Macaca mulatta: one gene and its partners. The protein of the gene in region 1 interacts with the protein of each later gene in a pairwise test. Links are inferred from orthologs where the notes say so. Each region holds a gene or a part of one and is shown in the gene's direction. Other genes may lie near its edges.

Evidence for each region.
Region 2: the proteins of AMOTL2 (region 1) and ZGPAT interact in binary tests that used the Homo sapiens proteins (3 or more experiments, as listed by UniProt). The two-hybrid records come from large-scale screens. The link is inferred for Macaca mulatta from reciprocal best matches to the Homo sapiens genes AMOTL2 and ZGPAT.
Region 3: the proteins of AMOTL2 (region 1) and BRMS1L interact in binary tests that used the Homo sapiens proteins (3 or more experiments, as listed by UniProt). The two-hybrid records come from large-scale screens. The link is inferred for Macaca mulatta from reciprocal best matches to the Homo sapiens genes AMOTL2 and BRMS1L.
Region 4: the proteins of AMOTL2 (region 1) and MFAP1 interact in binary tests that used the Homo sapiens proteins (3 or more experiments, as listed by UniProt). The two-hybrid records come from large-scale screens. The link is inferred for Macaca mulatta from reciprocal best matches to the Homo sapiens genes AMOTL2 and MFAP1.
Region 5: the proteins of AMOTL2 (region 1) and SMARCE1 interact in binary tests that used the Homo sapiens proteins (3 or more experiments, as listed by UniProt). The two-hybrid records come from large-scale screens. The link is inferred for Macaca mulatta from reciprocal best matches to the Homo sapiens genes AMOTL2 and SMARCE1.
Region 6: the proteins of AMOTL2 (region 1) and THRA interact in binary tests that used the Homo sapiens proteins (3 or more experiments, as listed by UniProt). The two-hybrid records come from large-scale screens. The link is inferred for Macaca mulatta from reciprocal best matches to the Homo sapiens genes AMOTL2 and THRA.
Region 7: the proteins of AMOTL2 (region 1) and GSTM5 interact in binary tests that used the Homo sapiens proteins (3 or more experiments, as listed by UniProt). The two-hybrid records come from large-scale screens. The link is inferred for Macaca mulatta from reciprocal best matches to the Homo sapiens genes AMOTL2 and GSTM5.

Annotation. Positions count from the first base shown.
Region 1 is NC_133407.1:37,408,506-37,412,005, reverse strand, and holds part of AMOTL2 (angiomotin-like protein 2), read left to right. Parts: intron 1-131; exon of another isoform or gene 132-186; coding exon 187-493; intron 494-1,568; coding exon 1,569-1,713; intron 1,714-2,103; coding exon 2,104-2,196; intron 2,197-3,500. UniProt on the Homo sapiens protein: Regulates the translocation of phosphorylated SRC to peripheral cell-matrix adhesion sites. Required for proper architecture of actin filaments.
Region 2 is NC_133415.1:116,595,173-116,597,532, forward strand, and holds the end of ZGPAT (zinc finger CCCH-type with G patch domain-containing protein), read left to right. Parts: exon of another isoform or gene 1-513; coding exon 514-633; exon of another isoform or gene 634-875; coding exon 876-1,281; intron 1,282-1,497; coding exon 1,498-1,636; 3' UTR 1,637-1,657; downstream 1,658-2,360. Other genes in the region: LIME1 (lck-interacting transmembrane adapter 1), read left to right, coding at 1,658-1,904. UniProt on the Homo sapiens protein: Transcription repressor that specifically binds the 5'-GGAG[GA]A[GA]A-3' consensus sequence. Represses transcription by recruiting the chromatin multiprotein complex NuRD to target promoters.
Region 3 is NC_133412.1:108,944,901-108,948,981, forward strand, and holds the start of BRMS1L (breast cancer metastasis-suppressor 1-like protein), read left to right. Parts: upstream 1-1,281; 5' UTR 1,282-1,338; coding exon 1,339-1,480; intron 1,481-4,081. UniProt on the Homo sapiens protein: Involved in the histone deacetylase (HDAC1)-dependent transcriptional repression activity. When overexpressed in lung cancer cell line that lacks p53/TP53 expression, inhibits cell growth.
Region 4 is NC_133412.1:21,191,518-21,195,017, reverse strand, and holds part of MFAP1 (microfibrillar-associated protein 1), read left to right. Parts: intron 1-2,378; coding exon 2,379-2,538; intron 2,539-3,500. UniProt on the Homo sapiens protein: Involved in pre-mRNA splicing as a component of the spliceosome.
Region 5 is NC_133421.1:65,022,563-65,026,062, reverse strand, and holds part of SMARCE1 (SWI/SNF-related matrix-associated actin-dependent regulator of chromatin subfamily E member 1), read left to right. Parts: intron 1-2,352; coding exon 2,353-2,457; intron 2,458-3,500. UniProt on the Homo sapiens protein: Involved in transcriptional activation and repression of select genes by chromatin remodeling (alteration of DNA-nucleosome topology).
Region 6 is NC_133421.1:64,420,668-64,424,916, forward strand, and holds the start of THRA (thyroid hormone receptor alpha), read left to right. Parts: upstream 1-1,449; 5' UTR 1,450-1,577; intron 1,578-4,249.
Region 7 is NC_133406.1:130,497,905-130,501,905, reverse strand, and holds the start of GSTM5 (glutathione S-transferase Mu 5), read left to right. Parts: upstream 1-1,201; 5' UTR 1,202-1,275; coding exon 1,276-1,311; intron 1,312-1,598; coding exon 1,599-1,674; intron 1,675-2,105; coding exon 2,106-2,170; intron 2,171-2,478; coding exon 2,479-2,560; intron 2,561-2,658; coding exon 2,659-2,759; intron 2,760-2,923; coding exon of another isoform or gene 2,924-3,001; intron 3,002-3,934; coding exon 3,935-4,001. UniProt on the Homo sapiens protein: Conjugation of reduced glutathione to a wide number of exogenous and endogenous hydrophobic electrophiles.

The DNA of each region.
Region 1 (3,500 bases):
CTTCCCCACTGGTCCCTGCCTACCACTTGAGGGTTGAATAATTATCTGCAGCAATTTTAATAAATATTAGTTATGAATAATAACCATCTTCCCAATATGCCTAGGAATGGGGCGACTCTGGGCTGCTCCGGGTGGGAACCATAAGGGTCTGTGCTGTCTCTGAGCACCGTCTCTTCTGTTTCCCAGGATCCTGCAGGCCCAGGTGCCGCCTGTGTTCCTCCAACAGCAGCAACAGTACCAGTACCTGCAGCAACCCCAGGAGCACCCCCCTCCCCCACATCCAGCTGCTCTTGGCCATGGCCCCCTGAGCTCCCTCAACCCACCTGCTGTGGAGGGGCCAGTGAGTGCCCAGGCCTCCTCAGCCACCTCGGGCAGTGCCCACCTGGCCCAGATGGAGGCCATGCTGAGGGAGAATGCCAGGCTGCAGAGGGACAATGAGCGGCTGCAGAGGGAGCTGGAGAGCTCTGCAGAGAAGGCCGGCCGTATTGAGAAGGTAGGCCCTGCTGGGGTTTCAGAGGGGCAGACCAGAAAGAGACCCCGAGGGGCTACCTGGGGAGTGGGTAGTCCAAGGAGAGGCAGAGGAGCCTGAAAACTGTTTGGCTTGATTTCCCCCATCCCTCTGTTCTCCACCTCCCTCACCCCTCATGCACCCTCCTGAGCTGACTCCAGACAGCTGGGGAACAGCCGAGAGGCCGGCAGAGCAGGCCTGGAGCATGAGCAGTTGCTGGCCAGTGGTGATTAGAAAGAGCCCATTCACCAGCTCCTTGCACACTCGCACCCTTGCCCTGCACACACCCCCTCTCATGGACACCTCCCACAGAGAGCCCTTTGTGTCCCCCACACAACAGCAAGTCTGTTCCAGGCCAGCCCTGGCGAAAAAGAAAACTTCTCCTCTTGGAAAGACTTGTTGGAATCACAGGCCAGCTAAGAGCACGTGCGGAACCTGCCAGCAGCCAAGTGGGAGGAGCAGCCGGGGCCCAGCTGGCCCTCTGGGTGGACGGTGATGCCTGGGGGACCAGGCAGAGGTGGCTCAGGCTTAGACCTGGTGCCTGCTTCTTTAGTGAAGGATTACCAGTTTTCTGCTGAGGCTCAGTTTTAGCAGATGGCCTCAGGCCTCCCTTGACTGTCCTGTGGTGTCCAAGTTAGGTCCAACCACCCCGACATGGCTGTAGTCTTTTGGTGCCCACTTCTGGCCAACCGTACTCAGTTTCTTGGTGGAAGCCAGCCAAAAGTAGAATGTTTCCTTCTGGACACTGGGCACAGGGAAGCTATGTTTAGTCACCCTGCAGGCAGCTACTTCCAAAGTACCTGGCCCTAGGGTCACTCAGCATCTGGTCCTTGGGGCAGCCGATGGACCGTTGCTTGCTGGTCCCAGCAGTCCAGTCTACTTCTGGAGGCTACAAGCTTCTGATCATCCCGCCATAGTCATCCCACCAAAACCTGGAGGTTTTGCTCCTGCTTGGTGTCCTCTCATCTGTCACCTTTTCTGATGGAGAGTAGTGGGTCAGCCTGGAATCACTCCCTAGGAGCTCTCACCTTCCTTCAGCTCTGCTGTCTGCCTCTTGCAGCTGGAAAGCGAAATCCAGCGGCTCTCTGAGGCCCATGAGAGCCTGACCAGAGCCTCCTCCAAGCGTGAGGCCCTGGAGAAGACCATGAGGAACAAGATGGACAGTGAAATGAGGAGGCTGCAAGACTTCAACCGGGATCTTAGAGGTGAGAGCCAGTCACACAGGTGGAGGTTGGAGAGCCTCTGCAGAGGGCTTACTTCCTCTGTTCTAGAGAAAAATTGGGAATCTATTACCTGCTAAAAGTGCAGATGAACTCAGAGAGCCAGGCTGAGACCCTCGGGAGCTGCCCTGATAGAGAGATGCTTGTCTCTATGTACTGGGTCTCGGATCCCTTCAGGGAGCTCCCATCGTGGGGCCCGGATGATGGCTTCTGACAGAGGAGGCTCCCTCCCATCGGGCCCTGAGCTGAGCCGGGGTTTCCTCATGGCCCATCCCCAATGTGGAGGATGCAGCCCCGTCTTGATAGGATGTCAGGAAAAATCCCAAGCTGGCAGCTTCACCTGACACTAAAACATCTTTCCTTCCCTTGAAACAGAGAGATTGGAATCTGCAAACCGCCGCCTGGCAAGCAAGACACAGGAGGCCCAGGCCGGCAGTCAGGACATGGTGGCCAAGCTGCTTGCTCAGAGTGAGTAGGGGCCTCACTAAGAATCCTGGCCTGTGTGCAGGCAATGGGACTGCTGCACACCCTCTGGACCAGGAAGATTGGCCTTCCCCCTTGCAAAGCAGTACTTTAGGAGCAGGTTTACTGCCTACTGTGTGCCCAACACTAGACTGGATCTGGGGATGGTGGGGAGAAGTGGCTTCCAAAGAAGAATAGGATCTAGTTGTGTATCTATTAAGAAGATCAGTTGACACTAGAGGGAAAGCCAGGGAGCAGTGATTTGCTGAGCTTCCGTGCTGACCATCAGTGCAGTGCATTGGGCAGTGTGGGAGGCAAGGTAACGCGGAACACAGGTGAGGTGAAGAAGGAAAGGTCGTCTGAGAGCTTCCCAGGGAGTTCCAGGCAGCAGAAAGGTCAGGAGTGTGCAACGGGAATGTGAGAGGCAGGGGGCATGATGGAACTGGGCCATAGCAAGCTAAGTGGAGGCACTTGAGACAGCCAAAAATGGGATCCTAGACCTTAACCAACAGATGCATTCTAAAGGGGGTGGTCTAAGCATCTTTGAAGAATGGGCAAGTTCATTGACTAGTCCATTCATGAATTAGCAGATGTGTTTTGAGCATCTGGCAGATGTTCAGGTGAGAATGGGAGCAGGCCCCGGAAGGTACCATGGCAGGGAGGTCAGGAGAGAAGTGGTGAGCTTAAGAAAGGAGCAGGTTCCCACAGATTTAAAAGAACAAGGGGGGTGGTCCTAGAAACTGGTGATTAGGAGCCCCAGTGGCCTGAGAGAGAGGCTCCGTGGGGATGGCGGGGGTGGAGAGCCAGCCAGAGGTGAAGGAGTTATTGGGCCGTTCAAGAGGTACATGGGGTGGGTGGCAAAGGGAGCCTTGAGCTCAGCAGCAGGAGGCTCTAGCAATCAGAAGAGACTAACAACAGTTATTTATTGAGCTCCTACTAGGAGCTTTACTGCCGTTCAGGGTGTTTGCAGAGAAGTGGAATGGGAGTGGTTGGTAGCTGGGTAAACGTGGCTTTGAGGCTTCACAGGAACTCTACTATGAATGGCACCAACAGTAGTGTGGGGTGCAGAAATGGAGGAGCAGCTTGAGGACTTAGCTCTGGCTGGCAGCACCCCTATCTTCCTTCAAAGAGGGTTCAAAGACTAGGGCAGGGAATGGGGGAACACAGCACTGAAGGAATTGACAGGGTGGGGCAGGAGGTAGGCTGGTCTCTACTGGCTGGGTGGGGTGAGGTGGCAGCGGCTTAAGGTCTCTGGGAAGGAGTCAAAGGGAATGAGGGAGAAAGGGGATGGGGCAGCCCTGGGGTTTCCC
Region 2 (2,360 bases), on another chromosome or scaffold:
AGGTGGTGTCCAGACAGCCAGGGTGGAAGCTTCGGGAATGGGAACTAGTGGCCGGTGGCCAGCTCTCCAGAGGGGTGTGTGTATACGTGTGTGTGTATATGCGGGAGGTCACCTGACCCAAGCATGGTGGGCTGAGTCCAGGAGGGGTCTGCATGTTGGAGGTGTACCCAGGGATCAGTGATGGTGGTTTCTGAAGCCCCAAGTCCCTGGTGAAGGAGGACCAAACCAAGGACTCTGTGAGGGCAGGTGAGGAGCTCATGGCCTTGCGAAGGTGGAGAAGGGCAAGGGCAGGAGAGGGCTGTGGAGGAGGGGTCACGGTGCAGGAGGCCGTGGGGACTGCCATGCACTCTGCCTGGTGTCACATGCCCACAGCAGCCTCAGTGACAGAGCACGGAGCCCCAGAGGTGGGGTGTTGGGGCTCTGCCCAGGATCTGAGCTCATTGGTCAGAGCCCAGGTCACCATGCATAGTCCTCTGCCCTGGCCGGCCACTGCCCTCTGTCCTTCTCTTGCAGTGGTGGGGTCGGACACTGTGGACTCCGGGACCTGCAGCTCTGCCTTTGCCGGCTGGGAGGTGCACACGCGAGGCATAGGCTCCAGACTCCTCACCAAGATGGGCTACGAGTTTGGCAAGGGTGAGTACAAGCAGCCCTGGAGAAGTGGGCAGAGGCTGCAGCATAGCCCAGGTCCCGCAGCCATCAGATTCCCCGGGGGTCCCGCAGCCATCAGGTTCCCGGGGCTCCCGCAGCCGTCACGTTCCCGGGGGTCCCGCAGCCGTCACGTTCCCGGGGGTCCCGCAGCCGTCACGTTCCCGGGGGTCCCGCAGCCATCAGGTTCCCAGCGTCCGGCAGCCACAGCACTGCCGTTCCTGTCTCAGGTTTGGGCCGACACGCAGATGGTCGGGTGGAGCCCATCCATGCTGTAGTGTTGCCACGAGGGAAGTCGCTGGACCAGTGTGTGGAGACGCTGCAGAAGCGGACCAGGGTTGGCAAGGCTGGCACCAACAAGCCCCCCAGGTGCCGGGGAAGAGGGGCCCGGCCTGGGGGCCGCCCACCCCCTCGGAATGTGTTTGACTTCCTCAATGAAAAGCTGCAAGGCCAGGCTCCTGGGGCCCTAGAGGCCGGGGCAGCCCCGGCGGGGAGGAGGAGCAAGGACATGTACCATGCCAGCAAGAGCGCCAAGCGGGCGCTGAGCCTGCGGCTCTTCCAGACCGAGGAGAAGATCGAGCGAACCCAGCGGGACATCAGGAGCATCCAGGAGGCTCTCACCCGCAACGCTGGCCGGTAGGTGTGGGGCCCGGCTCAGGGCAGAGGGAAACCCAGGGTGGCCCTGCCCCCAGGACACCTGCGGGAGGTCACCTGACCCAAGCATGTCAGGCTGAGTCCAGGAGGGGTCTGCGTGTTGGAGGACAGGCAGTGGGCACACGGGCAGTGGACATGGCAGCCTGGGGCTGGCGGCATGGCCGGGGACCCCACACTGACTGGTGAGCCTCTCCGCAGGCATAGCGTGGCGTCAGCCCAGCTGCAGGAGAAGCTGGCAGGAGCCCAGCGCCAGCTGGGGCAGCTCCGGGCTCAGGAAGCAGGCCTGCAGCAGGAGCAGAGGAAAGCAGACACCCACAAGAAGATGACTGAGTTCTAGAGAACCCTGCAAGCACTATGGATGAAGTGTGGGACCCCGGCACAGGCTGCCCTCAGAAAGACCAGTGTTGCCCAAGGAGGGGCCGGCCTGCTGGCCTGGGGCGTGCGGACCCTGCTGAGTGGAGACGGGGCTGCAGGGTCCTGTCTGGACACTTTCTTGCCCACCTGCCAGTGTCTTGGGCATTTCCTTGGCAAGGACATTAAAGTGATTTCATCACAGTGTCATTCAGTGGAGATCAGCTGGCTGCAGGGTCTCTGGGGAGAGAAGGGTCTGTGCAGGGCTGTGGTGAGCGGTGGGCTGGGCTGGAGGGGCCTAGGAGGCCAGCATTCTCCCTTCTCTCCCTTCTCTGTCCAAGGCAGATTGGAGGCCAGGGTGCCCGCCAGGCTGCCTGACACCCACAGATGGGTGGAGCTCAGTGCTGCTCCAGCAGGCAAGACGGGCCAGCAGGCGAGACGGGTGGGAGGACTGTGGCCCACCACGTGGGGTACTCCTGGTGAGGCAGGCAGACCTGGCCCTGTGAGTTTGGGGGTTCTGTGCCAGCTCTGCTCAGGTCTTCATGTGTGGAGGGGATGTGAGTTAGGCTGTCAGAACAGTGCGGGCTCGAGGCACACACGTTTCATCTAGGCTTCGGGCGGGGCGCAGCAGGTGGGTGAGGCTGCGGTGGTGGCTGCTGCCCAGGGTGGGAGGCTCAGGGGAGGCGCTCGGCAACAGGAGCAGGAAGTGA
Region 3 (4,081 bases), on another chromosome or scaffold:
GAGACAGGAGACAGGGTCTCACTCTGTCACCTAGGCTGGAGTGCAGTGGTGTGATGTCAGCTCACTGCAACCTTGACCTCCTGTGTTCAAGTGATTCTCTCACCTCAGCCTCTGGAGATTGGGTTTCACCATGTTGGCCAGGCTGGTCTCGAACTCCTGACCTCAAGTGATCTGCTTGCCTCGGCCTCCTAAAATGTGGGGACTACAGGCGTTAGCCACCCTGCCGGCCTGTACTATTTTTCAATAGCAAATTGCCACTTCAAGAAGAAACCCTGTCGTTATAAGGGGTAAAATATAGTTTTAAGATTGGTCTGCAAATGAAGTTTCCTTATCTGTAAAATGGGAATAACAATGACACCTAACTCAGGGCTATTAAAGTGAGACTTAAACTCACTAAACTCATGTAAAGAGCTTACCAAGATACCTGATACAGAGGATAAGTGGTCAGTTAATGAGTCACTGATTCTTCCTTGTCTATGTACCCTTTTTTTGAGAAAGTACATCTCACTAAGTATGTATTTTTCATTGAAAACTAAAGTTAAATCAGGACTGATGACATTTTGCGACTGCATCTGGTAAAAAATAAATGCAAAAAATACTAGATTGAAAATGCCAATATAAAACTTACTTTCCGTATTGTAAAAGTTTCAAGAATAAAGATTTTTGCGCAACATAGAAACTGCAAGTTATCGTCTATAGTTAATAATTAAATAAAACAGTTTATTAGTGGTAGGTAATAAAGGTACTTAGTAAAAGAGACGGTTTGCCAGGTCCCCCGGCTCAATGAGCAGGCAAAGATTCTTTCAGGCAAAAGACACTTTCACATCTGACAGTAACATCTCGGATAGTCAGGCAGGTCAAACAATCACTTGGCGGGAAATAGATAAATACACACTAAATTCGCACAATCTGTTTCTGTTTAGTTTATAAACTGCGATCCAGAGGGTCAGCTTTCGTGCCTTGTGGGACTTGAAGTCCAGAAAGAAGAAGTGATCAGGGCTGCCGAGGCATGGAAGGGTGCAGCCCCTGCAGGTCTGAGCCCTACGAACCACAACTCCCGGCAAGCATCGGAAGGCCGCGTCGTAATTACGGACAACCAATCGTACCAGAGCAGGGCAAGCCCCGCCCTCTGGCTCGGTGGACCGCCTCCGCCAATGGCAGAGCTCCCATCGCAGAGCCTGCGGGTTAGGTTGTGAGGCCCGGGCCGGGGGCGGGGAGGAGCCAAGGGGGCGAGCAGGCTCGGCCGCTGGGTGGGTCGGGGCGTTCCGCGCGCCCTTCATTGAAGCGGCGGTGGCCGGGCTGGGCGCCGGGAGTGGGAAGCGACGGCGCGGCTTGAAAATGCCGGTCCATTCCCGAGGGGATAAGAAGGAGACCAACCATCACGATGAGATGGAGGTGGACTACGCCGAAAATGAGGGGAGCAGCTCCGAGGACGAGGACACTGAGAGTTCGTCGGTCTCCGAGGATGGAGATAGCTCAGGTGCGCGACCCAGCAGGGCTGGGACCCTGAGTCCCCGCGCCCAGCGCGCGACAGGCCGCTCTCTGCACGCCAGGCGGCTGCGTCCTGCTGGGAAAGCGGGGCGGGGACAGAGGGAAGGGGCGGAGACTGGCTCTGGGCCCTGGGCTGCACCCGGTCCGGTCGCTGGGCGCTGTCTGGCTCATGATGGGTCTCGGCGGCGGGGCGGGGCGGGGCGGGCCTGGGCTTGCCCAGCTCCCGAACGCGGCGCAGTCCTGCCCCCGGTGGTGCTCTGGAGCGACCGGCCGAGGCGGAGAACTTCCCACAGCAGACAAACTGGAAATGCCTCCTCTCCCCAACCCACCGACCTCTTTCCCTATTTTCTGCTTTGCAACCCTCACTTCTCAGCGCTAGTGGGTTGCCGGGGCCGAGTGTCGGCTTAGTAATTAACCTCAGTTTCCAAGTCAACTTGCCGGTGAGCACTTTTACGTCAGTCCCTTTTCGGGGGCTAACTTGAGAGCTGTCCCGTTCAGTAGCTCCCTGAAGTTTGCAAGACCTAGAGGAAGGGACCAACATTCGGGCTCATTTTGCGTCTTCATATGCTTATAAATTGGCTGAGTTTTGGCAGCGTTGAAAATTCTCCAAGTCTTTTCTTCCCTTCAATTTTTTTCTAACTTTGGGCTGTTTTAAATTATGTTGGGGTGGGGGAGAAGGAGGGCAGATTAACACCACAAATAAATTTTGCAAACTTTTAGGAATGTTTATTCCAAAGTGAAATGGAATTTGTGATTACCGGGATTATTTTCCTTCGATTGAAATGATGGAGATGAGACTGACTTCTTTGTCTTGGCCTGATTTTGGTCAAGCATTGATGATAGGTTTATGACAGCCTAGTATCATCCACATGCCCTCTTTTCATGTTTCCCTTGCAAAGCAAATCTCCATGGAAGGATATAATTTCAATCAATAAATCAGCCATCCAAAAATATTTATGAGTGACTTCTTTGTGCAGCACTGGGTAGTACTCAATATGAGGGATAAATAGTTATTATCTGGGCTCTCTTAAAGAGCTGTCATACATCACCACTTGATTAAATGCCAAATGAATGCTTAACTAAATATTGCTGTGGGAATTCAGAGGCAGAGGAAATCGTTTCAGTATTGGGTGGTGGTCACAAAGGCTAGCTGAAGAAGGTGGGATTACCTTAATTATCTTGAAGAATGAGTAGAATTTGGGTTGGGGTTGTGGGTATCCCTATAGGGAGAGGAATGTAAGGAAAAGTACAAGGGCCAGAGTTTAGGGCTTATTCAAAAGCGTGAAAACCTTGGGAGAAGAACTTGAGGTCGGAAAGGAACAGGAAATATAGATGTGAGGGATTTCAAAGAAAGCACAAAACAGGATTGATGAATGCAAGTTTAGGATTGAAGGTAAGAGAAAAACCAAGATACAAGGAGAGTGGCGGTAGCATCAACAGAAATAGAAAAGTGAAAGATTTAAGATGAAGGTGAAAGATAAGAGTATTTCAGACATGTTGCTTTTTTTTTTTTTTTTTTCTCTTTGAAACGGAGTCTCGCTCTGTTGCCCAGCCTGGAGTGCAATGGCATGATCTTGGCTCACTGCAACCTCCACCTCCCAGGTTCAAGCAATTCTCCTGCCTCAGCCTCCCGAATAGCTGTGATTACAGGCACACACTACCACACCAAGCTAACTTTTTGTATTTTTAGTAGAGACAGAGTTTCTCCATATTGGCCAGGCTGGTCTCAAACTCTTGACCTCGTGATCCACCCGCCTCGATCTCCTAATGTGCTGGGATTACAGGCGTGAGCTACCGTAACCGGCCTTTTTTTTTTTTGGGAGAAGGAGTTTTGCTCTTGGCACCCAGGCTGGAGTGCAATGGCGCCATCTTGGCTCACTGCAACCTTTGCCTCCGGGGTTCAAGCAATTCTCCTGCCTCAGCCTCCTGAGTAGCTGGGATTACAGGTGCCCACCGCCAATGCCCGGCTAATTTTTTGTGTTTTTAGTAGAGACGGGGTTTCACTGTATTGGTCAGGCTGGTCTTGAACTCCTGCTCAGGCGATCCACCTGCCTCGGCATCCCAAAGTGCTGGGATTACAGATGTGAGCCACCATGCCCGGCCAGACATGTTATGTTGCTTTTTTTTTTTTTTTTTTTGAGACAGAGTCTCACTCTGTCGCCCAGGCTGAAGTGCAGTGGCATGATCTCAGCTCACTGCAACCTCCACCTCCGGGGTTCAAGCGATTCTCCTGCCTCAGCCTCCAGAGTAGCTGGGATTACAGGTATGCGCCACCATGCCCAGATAATTTTTGTGTTTCACCATCTTGGCCAGGATGGTCTCGAACTCCTGACCTCAGGTTATCCGCCCGCCTTGGCCTCCCAAAGTGTTAGGATTACAGGTGTGAACCACCCTGCCTGGCCGACATGTTGCTTTTGGAGTGATGGCAGTATGTTTAAGAATGCCCAACTGACAAATGCAAGTGTGACATTGGAACCTGCCTGATATGGAAGGGGAGAATAATTTGTAAGTCATCTGCCTTGCCTTGAAAGTAGGTGAGATTTCGAAAGTGGGGAATATAGAGAAAGGAGAACATCTAGACTATATGGGA
Region 4 (3,500 bases), on another chromosome or scaffold:
GGAGAAGCAGCAAAGTCATACTTTTTGAAAAGGGGCATGCATACTGTGAGGGGAAGCATTTGTGGCACTTAAGTAACCTACACTATGTTAGAGCAGAATCTTTTTTTTTTTTTTTTTGAGATGGAGTTTTGCTTTTCACTCAGGCTAGAGTGAAGTGTCACAATCTCAGCTCACTGTGGCCTCCGCCTCCTGGGTTCAAGCGATTCTCCTGCCTCAGCCTCCCAAGTAGCTGGGATTACAGGCATGTGCCACCACACCTGGCTAATTTTTGTATTTTTAGTAGAGACAGGGTTTCACCATGTTGGTCAGGCTGGTCTCGAACTCATGACCTCAGGTTATCCACCTGCCTCGGCCTCTCAAAGTGCTTGGATTACGGCGTGAGCCACCACGCCCGGCCCAAGCAGAATCATTTCTGAGCTGCATCACTCATTCCTATAAATTATTAGGTATAAGAGGGTAATCCCGGATTACAAAGGAAACCATCAATAGATAACTCTAGGCTGGGCGTGGTGGCTCACGCCGTAATCCGAGCACTTTGGGAGGCTGAGGCAGGCGAATCACTTTAGGCTGGGAGTTCGAGACCAGCCTGGCCAACATGGTGAAAACCTCTCTCTACTAAAATACAAAAATTAGCCGGGTGTGGTGGTGTTTGCATGTTATTCCCGGCTACTTGGAAGGTGGAGGCAAGAGAATCGCTTGAACCCAGGAGGCAGAGGTTGCAGTGAGCTGAGATAGCGCCACTGCACTCCAGCCTGGGTGACAGAGTGACACTCTTATCTGGAAAAAAGAAAAAAAGAAAACTTGCCTCAATATGAGCTACACACAATAAATAGATAACTCCATCCTCAGCCTGTAGTTTCTTTTTTTTTTTTTTTTTTTTTTTGAGACGGAGTCTCACTCTGTCGCCCAAGCTGGAGTGCAGTGGCGCAATCTTGGCCTCCACCCCCTGGGGGTCAAGCAGTTCTGCCTCAGCCTTCCAAGTAGCTGGGACTACAGGCATATGCCACCACACAGCTAATTTTTGTATTTTTAATAGAGGCGTGGTTTCACCATGTTGGCCAGGCTGGCCTTGAACTCCTGACCTCAGGTGATCCACCCACCTCGGCCTCCCAACGTGCTGGGAATACAGGCATGAGCCACCACGCCTGGCCCTCAGCCTGTAGTTTCTAAGGTTTTTATCCTGGACCTGAAGGAGTAGGAGTCCAAGTGCCCTTTAAAATTGTACACAAGGCTGGGCATGGTGGCTCATGCCTATAATCCCAACAATTTAGGAGGCCGAGGTGGGCAGATCACAAGGTCAGGAGTTTGACACCAGCCTGTCCAATATGGTGAAACCCCGTCTGTACTAAAAATACAAAAATTAGCCAGGCATGGTGGTACACGCCTGTAAATCCCAGCTACTCAGGAGGCTGAAGCAGGAGAATCGCCTGAACCTGGGAGGCAGAGGTTGCAGTGAGCCGAGATTGTGCCACTGCATTCCAGCCTGGGCAACAGAATGAGATTCCATCTCAAAAAAATAAAAAATAAAATAAAATTGTACACAAAATTATGTGTGTATATGCATTTTTTTGGAGAAAAGGGATATCACCCCCTCTCTCCCCAACACTGGCTAAAAAGTTACTGCAATCTGGCCGGGCGCAGTGGCTCACGCCTGTAATCCCAGCACTTTGGGAGGCACAGGTGGGCGGATCATGAGGTCAGGAGATCAAGACCATCCTAGTGAACACAGTGAAACCCTGTCTCTACTAAAAATACAAAAAGATTAGCCGGGTGTGGTAGCAGGCGCCTGTAGTCCCAGCTACTTGGGAGGCTGAGGCAGGAGAATGGCGTGAACCCGGGAGGCGGAGCTTGCAGTGAGCCAAGATGGCGCCACTGCACTCCAGCCTGGGCAACAGAGCAAGACTCCGTCACCAAAAAAAAAAAAAAAAAAAAAGTTACTGCAATCTAATTAATGATGGTAATCTTTGGTTTGTGACATGCAAGCACCTATATGATTATGATACACTTACATAAAGGAATACCAGCAAAGCCTTGGACAGTTATTTTAAATTCACTGATTTTTTTTTTTTTTTTTAAGCTAAGAAGACCTTTTAGGGAAAGAGAATTCGTAATGTTGCAAAACCCAGCAATAATAGTATGTCTGAATGTCAAAAGAGCTAGAATCAACTTCTGGAAGTTGGCAATACCTAGTCTGGCAAACATAATGAAGACTAACTCACCCTTTTGTTTATTGAGCTCTTGATCTTGATTCCTAATAGGCAATGACTAGAATTAAAGAAGGTGACTAATACTTGAAATAACATGGGACTGTTATTTTTGATAATTTGGTCTTTCTAAAGCTGTAACAGTACCAATAAATTGTTTTGCTCCCTGGACAGGCTTGAGAAGGAGAAAGCAGAAATTGAACGCATGCGAAACCTGACTGAGGAAGAGAGGAGAGCTGAACTTCGGGCAAATGGCAAAGTCATTACCAACAAAGCCGTTAAGGGCAAATATAAGTTCTTACAGAAGTATTATCACCGGGGTGCCTTCTTCATGGTAAGAAGTGAAAAGAGAGTCAGAAAATTGGGCAGTAGGAATAACTCAGAAACTTTGAATTCTTTTTTCTCTTCAAGAATGTTCTGGAATGTTATTTCCACTTGCCAATGGTCAGCTTTCTCATTTGTTTTTTCCTTCTGAACAATATAAACTCAGAGAAAAGCATCAGCAATTGGATTATAGAAGTAGCATCAACTGTTCTCTCTTTTGGCTCCAACTCTCAAAAAGAGGAAATGATGCAATAGCCTTTTTTTGTTTGTTTGTTTTGAGAGACGGAGTCTTGCTGTCACCCAGGCTGGGGTACGGTAGTGCGATTATAATTCACTGCAACCTTGACCTCCTGGGCTCAAGGGATACACCTGCTTCAGCCTCCAGAGTAGCTGGGACTATAAACATGCACAACCATGCCTGGCACTTTTTTTTTTTTTGCTATTTTTTAAAATTTTTCGTAGAGACCAGGTCTCACTATGTTGCCCAGGCTAGTCTTAGCCTTCTGACCTCAAGCAATCCTTCCACCTCAGCCTCCCAAAGTATTAGGAATACAGGCATGAGCCATTGTCCTCAGCCTTAGATAAATTGATGAAATGAAATAGAGAAGTGATCTGTATAGATAGGGGACGAATTAGGTCCTCCACTTTGTGAAAACCAAACTCTGCAAATAGCTTTACATTAATTCACTTTTGTGTGGTAGAAAGTTCACTTCATTCTGAACTGACAGTACCCAAGAGTAACTAAACAAAAGAATGGTTTATTCTGTAACCATTAGGTGGAGGGCCATCATCTTTGTTTTTCATATAAAGACTTAAGATCAAAATAGCAATCTGTTAATCCTGTATGGTTTATTATAATTTCCTAGTGTTAAAGCAGTTTGTACCAAAAACTAGACTAGCTTTTTCAAGTGCTGTGTGGCAAATTCTAAATATCCCCACTGCAACTGAATTCCTGCCTTTCACTGGAGATGC
Region 5 (3,500 bases), on another chromosome or scaffold:
TCAGGTCTTGCTGAAATGGCTTCCTTGTTGGTTTTTTGGGAGGGGGGTTTTGTTTGTTTTTTTAAAAACACTGTTAACATGACCAAATTCTACAAAATTAGTTCTTTAATATTAATCCTTCCTTCCATACCCCCTACTACCTAAATTTCAGGCTAGTCTACTTTTCACTACTAATTAGGTCCTTGTGTAATTTTGTTTTCTCCGCTAGAAAACTATTCATATTTACTAACCCTCAGATATATGTTTTAGTTACATTTATCAACAATTTGTTTTTCTTTAGTGAGATACTTTTAAAAAGAGATACTGTACCATATGTTCTCATTTCAATTTATATTATATACAGGCTCTAAAGTTAATTCCAGTAGACCGTAAAGTCCTGTGCTTGGTTTCTTTTCTTTCTTAAATCAAAGAACATTTGTTATGACCATCTCCATGGCATTCCGCTAGTGGCTATACAGGTGGAGCTGAACAATTGAGATTCTGACCTCAAAGAGCTAACCATGTACTTCAGCTTTGGAAATGGTATAATTATAATGTTTTGCTTTCCATTTTTTTTTTTTAGTTCCCTTATTTTTATAACATTATTGCCTCATAATGTTGAACAGTGATTCTTATTATTTATGCAAACTTTGAAGGTGTCATTTTGACATAAATACTGCCTCTGACAATGTATCATATCTTGAGGACAAACTTGATTTTTTGAGATTAAAATATTTCAAAAATGAAGTGTCCCCTTATAACTTACTATGCGTAAAAAGGATTTTTTTTGGCCTTTCTTTAGTTATATTTTTGTGCCATTATAATTTCACGTTAACACACAAAATATAGAAAACTAGGGATTAAAACATCCAACAGAATGGATACTAAATTAATTATTCTCCTTCCTTCTTTCCATTACTCCTACCACCACCACCATCACCACCACTACCAACACTATCACCACTATCACCTCCGCCACCCAAATGTACCACTCCAAGTAATATACACTTCTTTCATGCCTTTGATACTTCATCTGTGTTTTGCCTACTTAAATATGCTTAATTTGCGTCTTTTCTAACTGTATAGACTAGAAATTGATCAGCCGTTCTCTTTTCTCCTAAAGAGTATCAAATGTAATATCTGCTTAAATGTCTTTCTTTTGGGTACTAAGGATATGTGCAGCGACATGTTTTAGGAAATTGTGTTTATTTTGTAACAGCTACAGCTTAGTTGGAATGTGTTAAGTGTATTTTACATTATACAGTTAAGGACCGATATTGTTAATTGCATGTAAAAATGAAATTGTCACATATTTTGATTGAGCTTTACAAGGTAAAATACCCGAATTTTGGTCTCTCTCTACTATATTCTTTCTATACATTATGCCTTGGTTCTCATGAACATTGAGTGTCATTGTATTAGCCCCAAGGCCACTGCTATATAAGAGCCCATTTGTGATTACATCAACACATAATTCACAAAAACCAAGAGTTCTGTTGCTGAAATGAGCAGTTGTGTTTTGAAAGGGTGAGAGCTATCAGGAAACTAGATGAAAAAAGAAAATTCAAGTCTATCAACTAGAAAAGTAGATCACATTGAGACTAAATGCAGAAATGTTTTCATGATTGACCTGTGGAAGATGGATCAAAGAAGAGATGGAAGAGAAATCCTATAAAAGAATGACTGGGTTAAAAAGATCAGATAGTACCCCAGAATGAAATCCATGCATTTCTTACAAGTCTTTGTTTTAAATCATGTATGTGACATCCATCAAATCCAGCATATGTTCTTTTCAATTGACAAATCCTGGCTTCCCGATTTGAGTCTCTTCTCATTTCTCACATTATATAAAATGATTTAAAACTGTCTTTGAAATCAGATCCATTTCTTGTTTTTGTTTTTAGTAGATGAATACATTGGTGGCATCCACATGTCAAATAAATTGTGTTTTGTTTTGCATGTAGTGTTTTCAGAGTTCTAGTTTATCACACTTTAAGCCTTCCTATCTCAGTCTTCATATATTGCTAAGTTGTTATATCCTGTTGTTGACCATAAAGTAAATCCTGAATGTTTTAAACACTTCAGTGTATTGCTTTCCTCCAGAAACACAACACACATTCACAGTCACACAAACACCCCCAGTCCCTGCAAAAAAGAAAGAGAAAAACAACCAAAAGACACTGCAGACAGGTTTCTCAATGAAAGAAAAATATTTAATTTCCTCAGTGGAAAAAAAGAACAATTACAACACATCATTGCTTGTTTAAATTCAGGTTGCTTTTGCATGCCATATGCAGATCATTTTTCATTTCTGTGTTTTCCTCGTTTGAGCTCATTTCTCATTCGTGTTTTTGTCTCATTTGTTTCCATCAGCAAATGCCCAGCACACCAGGGTTTGTGGGATACAATCCATACAGTCATCTCGCCTACAACAACTACAGGCTGGGAGGGAACCCGGGCACCAACAGCCGGGTCACGGTAGGAGAATCAACTATTACAGCATCCGGCAAACAACTGGAATTGACCAGAAATGCCTTCAGAATTAGGTCTTTTTGAATCATAAGCACAGCCATTTAAAAAAATTTTTTTAACCTAGCTTTTTGACTATTTTCAACATTCATTGTAGCATCTCACACTGAAAAAATAAATAGTGAGATCTGGAATGTATATGGAAGAAAAGAAAAATCCATTCTGTTTGGTGGTTGGTAGGGATAAAGCCTTGAGCACTTGATGCTTATACTGTATGTAAACAAACAGAATTTCTTCTGGTAAAAATACCCTTTTTGGCATAAAGAGTATTTTTCGTTTTTATAAGGTGATTGGCATTAGTCTCAAGGATTCAGTTTCTAGTAAAGGCTGGGCTTTCAGACCTGGCTTTTTCAGGGCTGGAACGCTTTTGGCTGGTATACCAGTTTGAATCCCTACCCATAGTTATTTGTCTTTTGGATTTAATAGTTGACCTTCTAACTGAGACTCATTGCTCTACAGTGAAAAAGAGAAAAACGTTTTAATGTCACCTCAAAGAAATGCAGAATGAAGATTGAATGAAATTAATTTGAAGTATCAAACTAGATACGTACAACGAGAAGTGCATTTCTAATCCTTAGTATAAGAGATATGATTTCTGAAACTTAGGATGTTCCATTTAAATGATCAGCCTAAGATTTCAAAATTAGAATCATCTTAAATTTCATTCAAAAAAGTTTAAGTGCCAAAAAAGCCAATAATTATAAAAATGACTTACTAAAGATAAAAAATCCAAAAGTCAAATACTACATTGAAATGTAGTGTTGCTGAGAATTTATACAACCCAGAATGGCTGTAAAGTTTTTAATATCTGGTTTTTGTTTGCTGTATTCGTAAATAACAAGTGCCTTCTATTAATGTAACTTCAAAAAAGCCCTCTCACCCTGTAGTCAAGCTAGAACTGAAAGTTTGTAGCTATCAAATGAATGTCTATCTTGATAAGCATATTGCTTAGCTTGATAGGTTTTGTTTGTCTAAATTTTTCATTGTTTCTG
Region 6 (4,249 bases), on another chromosome or scaffold:
GAGGTACCCTCCCCTCCACCAAGAATTACAAACTCCAGTACCCCCTGTGAAAGAAGTGGCTTCAACAGCACTGAGGATGCAGGTGGCTGATACTAAGACATGAGCAAGGGCAACCCAACTTGGGTAAGCTGTGGGTCAGAATCCCACACTCACCAAGTGATTCTGCCCAGTATAAACTGGGCGATTAGCCGAGCAGCTCCCCCTAACACACACACACTCGCATACACACACACACCCCTCCCCAAGAGCAGACTGTGTAGCCAGAGCCCCACCCTGAGAGCCGTGGGAAGGCCGTGGCCCCCGCTGGTAAAACTGGGCTAATGACAGCAGGGGAACCGGCGGGGCCAGGGGGGTGCTGGGGTAATTAGGGCTCAGCCTGGCGCTAGGAGATCCTGAGATGAAAGGTGCTCTGGCGTCACTGGGTTGGTTTTATGTCCATGAATGCAGGTGTGTGGTGTGTGTATGTGTGTGCTGGGGGTGGGGCTGGCATGGTGGAGACCTCTCCTTTGGGTTGGGTTAGGGGGTCCATTTGTACGCAGCCCACCGTCTTCCTTAGGTTGACTCTGGTACCATTTGGATTTTCGTGGGAGCAAACATGGGGGGAAATACCATCACCGGGGAGCTAGGAATTGAGGGGGTATGGCAGCTCTTGTCCCCTCCCCAGCGCAGGAGAGGGAGCAGATTGTTGGGGAAATGGCTGGTGACAGAGAATAGAAAGAGCCTATATGGAGAAGGGTGACGTTGGAAAGGGGAGGCAGTGGTTCGGTATTGATGTTAGAAATGAGAGGGGAGGGAGGTAACGGGGAATGAGCCCCCACAAGGATTAAAAACGTAAGATGATTGAAGTTAAAAGGACATCAGGGGTCACCTGCCCAGCCTTCGCACCTGAAGCTTGAGGAAGCTCTGCCCCCGACAGCAGTGGCGATTTGTCAAGGTCACACAGTGAGTTACTGGCGGAGAAGGGACCCGAACACCCAAACAAACTCTACACCTGCAAGCATTTGGTGTTTAGACTTTCTCCCCCATGTATAAGGTGCAGGCGGCTCGTCGATACTTCCTCCTCCACCCCCACGGTGCACACCCGAAAACCCCCCAATTCTCCCGGCAAGCAAAGGCTATTTTTTAATGACATCTTTTCCAAAATATGTCACCAAGTACCCACTCCTGCGGGAGCCGCCCGGGCGGGGGAGGGCGAGTCAGAGCGGGGCGGGGCAGAAGCGGCCGAGGGGCGGCCGGGCCTCTGGCGGGGGTCCCGGGGCGCGGCAGGGGGCGGGGGGCGGGGGCGGGCGGCGGCGAGGCGGCCTGCAGGGAGCAGCCGCGAGCCGGCCGGGCGCGCCGAGCCCGAGCCCCAGCCGGAGCGGGGCGGGGGAGGGAGGAGCCAGAGCGGCCGCCGCCTCTGCCGGAGGAGCCGCGGGGCCGCCACACTCGCCCCCCGCCCCCCCCGCGCTCACTCGCACTCACACCCGGGCGCAGGAGGCGGGCGGCCCGGGCCCCACCGGCCCCCCATGGACGCCCCCAGCACGGGGCGCTGAGACCCCCGCGTCGCTGCCCAGCCCGGTCCAGCGCGCCACGCCGAGGTAAGGAGGAGGGAGCGAGGGCATTAATATGCAAATGCCTTGCGATTGATTATGCAAAGCCGCGGGGCTCCGTGGCCAGCTCCCAGGCGGGCTGGGGGCGCCCAGGGGGTACCCGCTGCCAGCCTCAGCCTTTCCCGGCACCCCAGTGACCCTGTCACGAGCCCGGGAGCGTCAACTGACGCCCTGGGGAAGGGAGGTGTTGTAGGAGGTCGGTGGGCCCCGGGGTTCGCAGGCGGAGATGGCGTCCGAGCCTCCCCCTCGAGGGCCCGCCCGGCCTCTGTCCGGCCAGTCTGCTGCGCATTCCCGGGCCGGGCCCCGTTGCCGGCCGCCGGAGCTCCCCCCGCCCGCCGCGCCGCGGTTTGTTTACGGTGCGCCGGAGGCCTGCCCCCCCCAGCCCCCACCCCTAGCCTCTGAGGCCGAGTGGCCTTTGCAAAGCTGCCTCCAGCTGCGGAGGGCAGTATGAGTGCGGTGGCGGTGGTGGGCTTGCACGGGTCCTGGGAGAGGGAAGTTCCCCCCCTCGCTTCACCCGCCTCCCAGTTGAGCATGGCTGTCTGGTTGCAACACTCCTAATTGCAAAAACGCGGCTGTTGGGGGGAATGTGTGTGTGGAGGGGGTGTACTTGATGGTGCCTAGATGATTAGGAGAGTTGCTGGCTGGGGAGGACAGGGAGAAATGGACCTGTTTGTGTACCCCACCTTGTTTCCCTCCCCTTGCAACGTGTCTCTGGTGCCCCTTCTGCATGTGGGGCCCTCCCTTGTCCAGCGTGAAAGAAAGGCCTGGGGGATGACAGGGGCAATTGAAAGAACCACCGTTCCAGGGGTGGGGGTGGGGGACACAGAAGGAAAGACAGTGAGGTGGGAGCCTGCCCCTCAGTGCTGCCTTTGGCTCCAGGAGGGGGAGGGGATGAAGGGGGCTGTTGTCCAAAATAAGGGGGGGAAGCAAAAGTGACATGCAGACACAGAGATATGTCCACACAGACAGCCACATGCACACCCAGGGACACCCAGGCGGACTCAAGGACAGGAGCTACTGGACACACCCACATGGGGACAAGGGAAGAGGCAGGCTGCTGCTGCACCGTGGAGCTCAGACGGGTGGGATATACCCACGGGAGACCAAGAGCATGGGGACCGACCCATGCACATACCCACCCACACACAGGGTCACACGGAGATGCTGTCACACACTGGGGCAAGGAGGAGTTGCTGTCACCCACACATAAAAAGTCACTGTCACATGCATGCATGCACACAGAGCAGTTGCACACAGCCGCACAATTACAAAAGACCCTGTCACTCACAGGCACACACGTGCTCGCATGAGCCCAGTCACACAGACATCATTGCTTGCCGTGACAGTCGCTATCACTCAGTCAGATGCAAACACAGTTACACATCAACACATGTATACACAACTTAGCAACAAGTATTTTCCTGGACTCTTACTGTGGAACTCTGAGGTTCTGCAGGCAACAAAACCCTTGCTCCCAAGAATATTAAATTTGGCTGTATGAAAAGGTGTTCCTGCGTAATGGTGCAAAGCCTGCATTCCTAATGACATCTTCTTGGTCTCTATCGATTGAGATACCACCCTACTAGACAGTGAGCTCTTAGAGACCTGGGAGAATCACTTAAAGAGCTCTGGATGCCACCCAGAGCCTAGCACAAGGGCTGCTCTGTAAATACTTGTGAGTTGATTGACTGTGGAACCTGCAGACACAGGTGCACTCATTTGCACATGGTCCCCTGAACTAAGGTACAGAACGAGTTCATGAGGCCCAGGTCCCCACAGTTGCAGGTCCACACCAACAGTCGTGTCCACACAACCCCAGATGCACACAACTGGAGCCTGTGCAGCCAAGCACACACTTAGATGCACACAATCACAGACTTTTCCCCTTCAGCTTCCTCCTCCCTTTTTCCTCTAGGCTCAGCCACTGTGCGGGAATGGGCTTTTTTTTTTTTTTTCTTTTTTTTCTTTCTTTCTTTTAGAGGGACAGAGAAACAAGAGCAAAGACAGTGGGTTCAGGGGGGTTCCAGAGGGCCGAGTCATGGGCTCAAAGCAGTATCCAGTGACTTCTAGAAGCTGGGATTCTCTTGACTGCTGGGGGAGGGGAGAGCTGCTCTTCTCCCTACCCTAAAAGCTCTGGGGTGTCTAACTGCCCCTGCTCTGAGTCATTTGCCTGGGCCTTTCCTGGGAACAGTCAGTCACCCCCAGCTGAGTTCCTGCATCCCACCTTGAGTCTGGCCCTTTTTCCCACCTGGACCCTTCTGTCCAAACTTGGAAGCTTTCCTTAAGAGGCCATCGGCTGACGAGTGTCTGTATGAGTGATGTGTATTTTTGACTTGGAATTTCTCTCTAACTCTGTCTCTCTTTCTGTTGTTCTGTCTTGCAGTGTCTGATTCTCCCTCCCTCTCTCCTTTTTCCTCTGCCAGTCTGTAACTCTCTCTCGCCCTGTCGCTACCCCCCGTCTACCCCTGTCCTTGTCTCAGAGCTGGGGACTGGCAGCAATGTTCTTCATACTTTTCCAGTTGTTAATACCCAAGCTCCGCCCCTCGGCCCCCCCTGTGCAGCCTCTGGGGTCAGCTTGAGGTTGGGGTGGGGGGCGGGGGGCTCAGCTGGCTGCTCAGGACTTCCTGCACTTCCTTAGTGCTGCAGCTGTGGCCAGCAAG
Region 7 (4,001 bases), on another chromosome or scaffold:
CCCCACACCTCCGTGAGGTAGCAGGGGACAAGGTAAGGGTAATCACCTCCGGCACCTGGACCTATTTAGATAAAGTAAATAGACTGAGGCTCCAGAGTAAGGTCTCAGGACCCAGAACTTAGTTATAGATTAAAGAAGTCAATCACTTATGTCTTTAGATGATGCACACTCACTTGTAGGCATATAGCTTAGAAGGTATATATGCTCTGGAAAACTTTGTAATTTTGAGTTGGTCTGGTGGTAATTTCCAGATCTTCTCCCTGTAACCAGTTGCAGAAATAAAACCTCTCTTCCTCTCCAGGTGATCTGCATCTGGTTATTGGGCCTAGAGAAATAGCAGCCTGACCCTCAGTTTGGTCCCGGAAGTTCTTCCACCCTCCCTCGCCTGCCCTCTGTGGCCACTGCACTCACTGCTGCTGTTGCTGTTTTGGTCTATGTGAGGTTCACCTAGTGGACTGGCTGGACATTTCCAGGGGGCACCTCAGATACCTCACCAACTTGCTGGGTCTGATCCTTTAATTTAGATTCATAAATTGTGCCAAAATACGAAGTGGCTACTTTACATAGTACGTAGTCAGATGACCAAAGGACTCAGTACCCGAGGGCACCTAACAGAAAACACAGACCACATTTCCTTTACTCTGACCCATTTCTTGGGGGTCCTTCCCATACCACTGACACCGTTCCTGTGTAGGCGGGGCTAGAGGGGAGACAAAGCCCTCGGAGTAGCTTTCGAATCAGAGGAAGTCCTGCTCTTACAGTGACGGGCTGAATTAAATTCCCAGGTTGGGGCCACCACCTTTTAGTCTGATCCCTGCAGCCCGAGTCTCCCAGAGCCCGCGGGAACTCGGCAGCGGAGAGAAGGCTGAGGGACTCCGCGGGCAGGGAGGAGAAGGGAGAAGAGCTTTTTGCTTCTTTAGGATCTGGCTGGTGTTTGAAGCGCACGGCCAAGTCGCTGTGGACTTAGCAAGTGCTGGATGGACTCGTGGAGCCTCAGGGCGGGTTGGGGAAGCTGGCGAGGGTGATCCCGGCCTTCGGCTTCTGGGCGCCCTGACCTCGCTCCGGGAACCCTCGGGGCTGGGAGGCGGGCGTGGGTGTTACTGATTCCAGCCCCAGGCGCCCTCTCCGCGGCCTCAGAATGGCGCGTTTCAGGGGCGTGGCGGGCCGAGGGGCGGGGTCGCAGCAAGGCCCCTCCTCTCCCCTCCCTGGGTCTCTCATAAAGTCTGAGCCCCGCTCGGCTGAGGCCTGTCTGCAGAATCCGCACCAAGAGGCACCATGCCCATGATCCTGGGGTACTGGGACATCCGCGGGGTGAGCGTGGGTCCGCTGGACGGTGGGACGAGGGCTGTGGAGAAGGGAAGTGGAGGAGGGAAGTGTGGAGCAGCTGAGGGAAGGGCTCTAGAGACCGTTCCTCTTCAGGGCGGTCGCCCTCAGAAGGGCCTGTGCCTGACGCTGTGTGTGTGTCTGGCGGTGGGGGCGGGTAGAGGAGGCGACAGGTTAGTGCAGTGTAGACTGGGGGCTCGACTGGTGCAGAGAAAGTCACCAAGTCAGGGACCCACCATCTCTGACCCGAGCTGCGTGCGTGCCATCTCTCCCAGCTGGCCCACGCCATCCGCCTGCTCCTGGAATACACAGACTCAAACTACGAGGAAAAGAAGTACCGGATGGGGCACGGTAATGGCACCTTCGTGTCCGGGCCCTGCCCACTCCCGCTGAGTTGGCACCAAGCAACCCATGGTGGCCACCTGTGGCTGCCTCTGCAGGCCTCCCCTGCTGGAGCTGCAGGCTGTCCCTTCCCTGAGCCCACCTGAGGGAGCCCTCTGGCCTTGCAAGGCAGAATGCTGGGGCGGGATGCTGGGCCCCCTGTCTGGATAACTGGGATGGGTGTCGCTCAGGGCTTGCCTAAACCCTGGAAGCCTTAGTCGCGTGGGGTCCACAGCCCTCACCGGGATTCTTTCTCCCTTATCCCTGGGATGTGGGACTGAGTGGTCAGGTTCTAGATCCACCTGTCTCAGGGGTCTTGCCACTGGCTCCTTGAGAGGGTCTCGGGGAAGGAGGGCTGGGCTCTGGGGAGGTTTGTTTTTATTTCATCTTCCGCACCACAGCTCCTGACTATGACAGAAGCCAGTGGCTGAATGAAAAATTCAAGCTGGGCCTGGACTTTCCCAATGTAGGTGCAGGGGAAGGGGCGGTTTTGGGGGCAAGTGCAACGTGTCTCTGACCGCATCTCCTCTCCCAGCTTAGAGGGGTTAGGATCCGGAGTCTTCTGCCCAATTCCCTCACTCCTGGCTGTCTACACAGCCCTTCCATGATGTTCTGTGTCCAAGCTCATTCGTCCATATGACAGTATTCTTATTTCAGGCCTGCCATGAGCAGGCACAGTGAGTGCCCGGTCTCCTCTCTGCCCTTGCTCATGGGATGGGGATGCTGGGGGGCCTGGTGGCCCAACTGAGCTTCCCCGGTTTCCCATTCATCCAGCTGCCCTACTTGATTGATGGGACTCACAAGATCACCCAGAGCAACGCCATCCTGCGCTACATTGCCCGCAAGCACAACCTGTGTGAGTGTGGTTGGCTGCAGTGTGTGGGGGGAAGGTGGCCTCCTCCTTGGCTGGATTGGGGTGTGATGCTCAGAGTGAGTGTGTTTTGTGGGTGGCAGGTGGGGAGACAGAAGAGGAGAAGATTCTTGTGGACATTTTGGAGAACCAGCTTATGGACAGCCGCATGGAGATGGTCAGACTCTGCTTTGACCCAAATTTTGTGAGTCCTGCACCCCACTCCCAGTCACCCCTTTCCCTGGCTTCTGGCCCAGAGCAGAGAAGGACTCACAAAGTCAGGCCTGTAGCGGACCCTGGCCTGCTCACTGGAAACGTCTATAGCCTGGTTCTACAAAATATCCACATGAATCATCTCCTCTTCTGAAGAGTCGTGTGGACATTTTGGAGAACCAGATCATGGACAACCAGATGCAACTGGTCATGATCTGCTACAACCCAGAATTTGTGAGTCTCCCCAGTGATCTGCACCTGGCAGAGTTTGGATTTGGGGCCAGGACTCTTGCATTCCTGCACACACTGGTCTTTCCTTAAGTCCTTGGTACCACTCATCCTCCAAGTGCTTTCCCATACTATCAACAGTTATTCTCACGACTCCAATGTCAACAAAAGCAGAGGCAATTCCCAGCAATCTTAGGACACGATCCAGGCATCCCAGGATAGAAATTCAATTCCTAGATGGTAAAGTTCATGTTCAGAATCTCCTTCATCGCCTCTGGCCTCTGTCATGGGTCATTTCTGTCAGCTGGTTCACGTCACTTACCTGCTCCTAGAATATATAGACTCAAGTACAAGATAGAGGAATGTAATGGCACTCTTGAATTGCATCTTCTCAATAGTTTCCAAGTGCTGTCATTGAAATGCACAGGGATCCACACATTTTCATAACAGACAGCTCAGAGCCAGTCAAAGGGTGGCTCTCCCTTCTTCCTTTCAACCTGAATTTCTCATCTCCCTGGAAACTGGTCAATGTCCATGTTTTCTCTTGCCACCGCATTAGAAGGAACTTTCTACTTCTTTCCCTGAGCTCCTGTAGTTCTTTGCATCCTTGATTCTGCCCATGTCTGGGTCCAGAGGTTGCCAGGTGCTCAGGCGCTCCTGGGGCTGACCCAGAGGCCATTGGGAGGACAGTGAGGACAGATTCAGGGACAGCATCTCATTCCTCTCTGCCTTCTGATCACTTCAGATAGGGTCTGGCACCCAGTCAGAGTCTAATAAATGCTGATGTATCCAGTTGAAGCCTGGGCGCTGCCCCAGTTTTAGTTGCGGGGAAGACGGCTGCTTGCCCACGGCCAGCCTGGGCCATCCACAGCCCTGGGGAGGCCATGTCTATGCAGGGAGCTTTTGTCTGAGGGTGGTGACAGCTGTTTTCTGCCTCAGGAGAAACTGAAGCCAAAATACTTGGAGGAACTCCCTGAAAAGCTAAAGCTCTACTCACAGTTTCTGG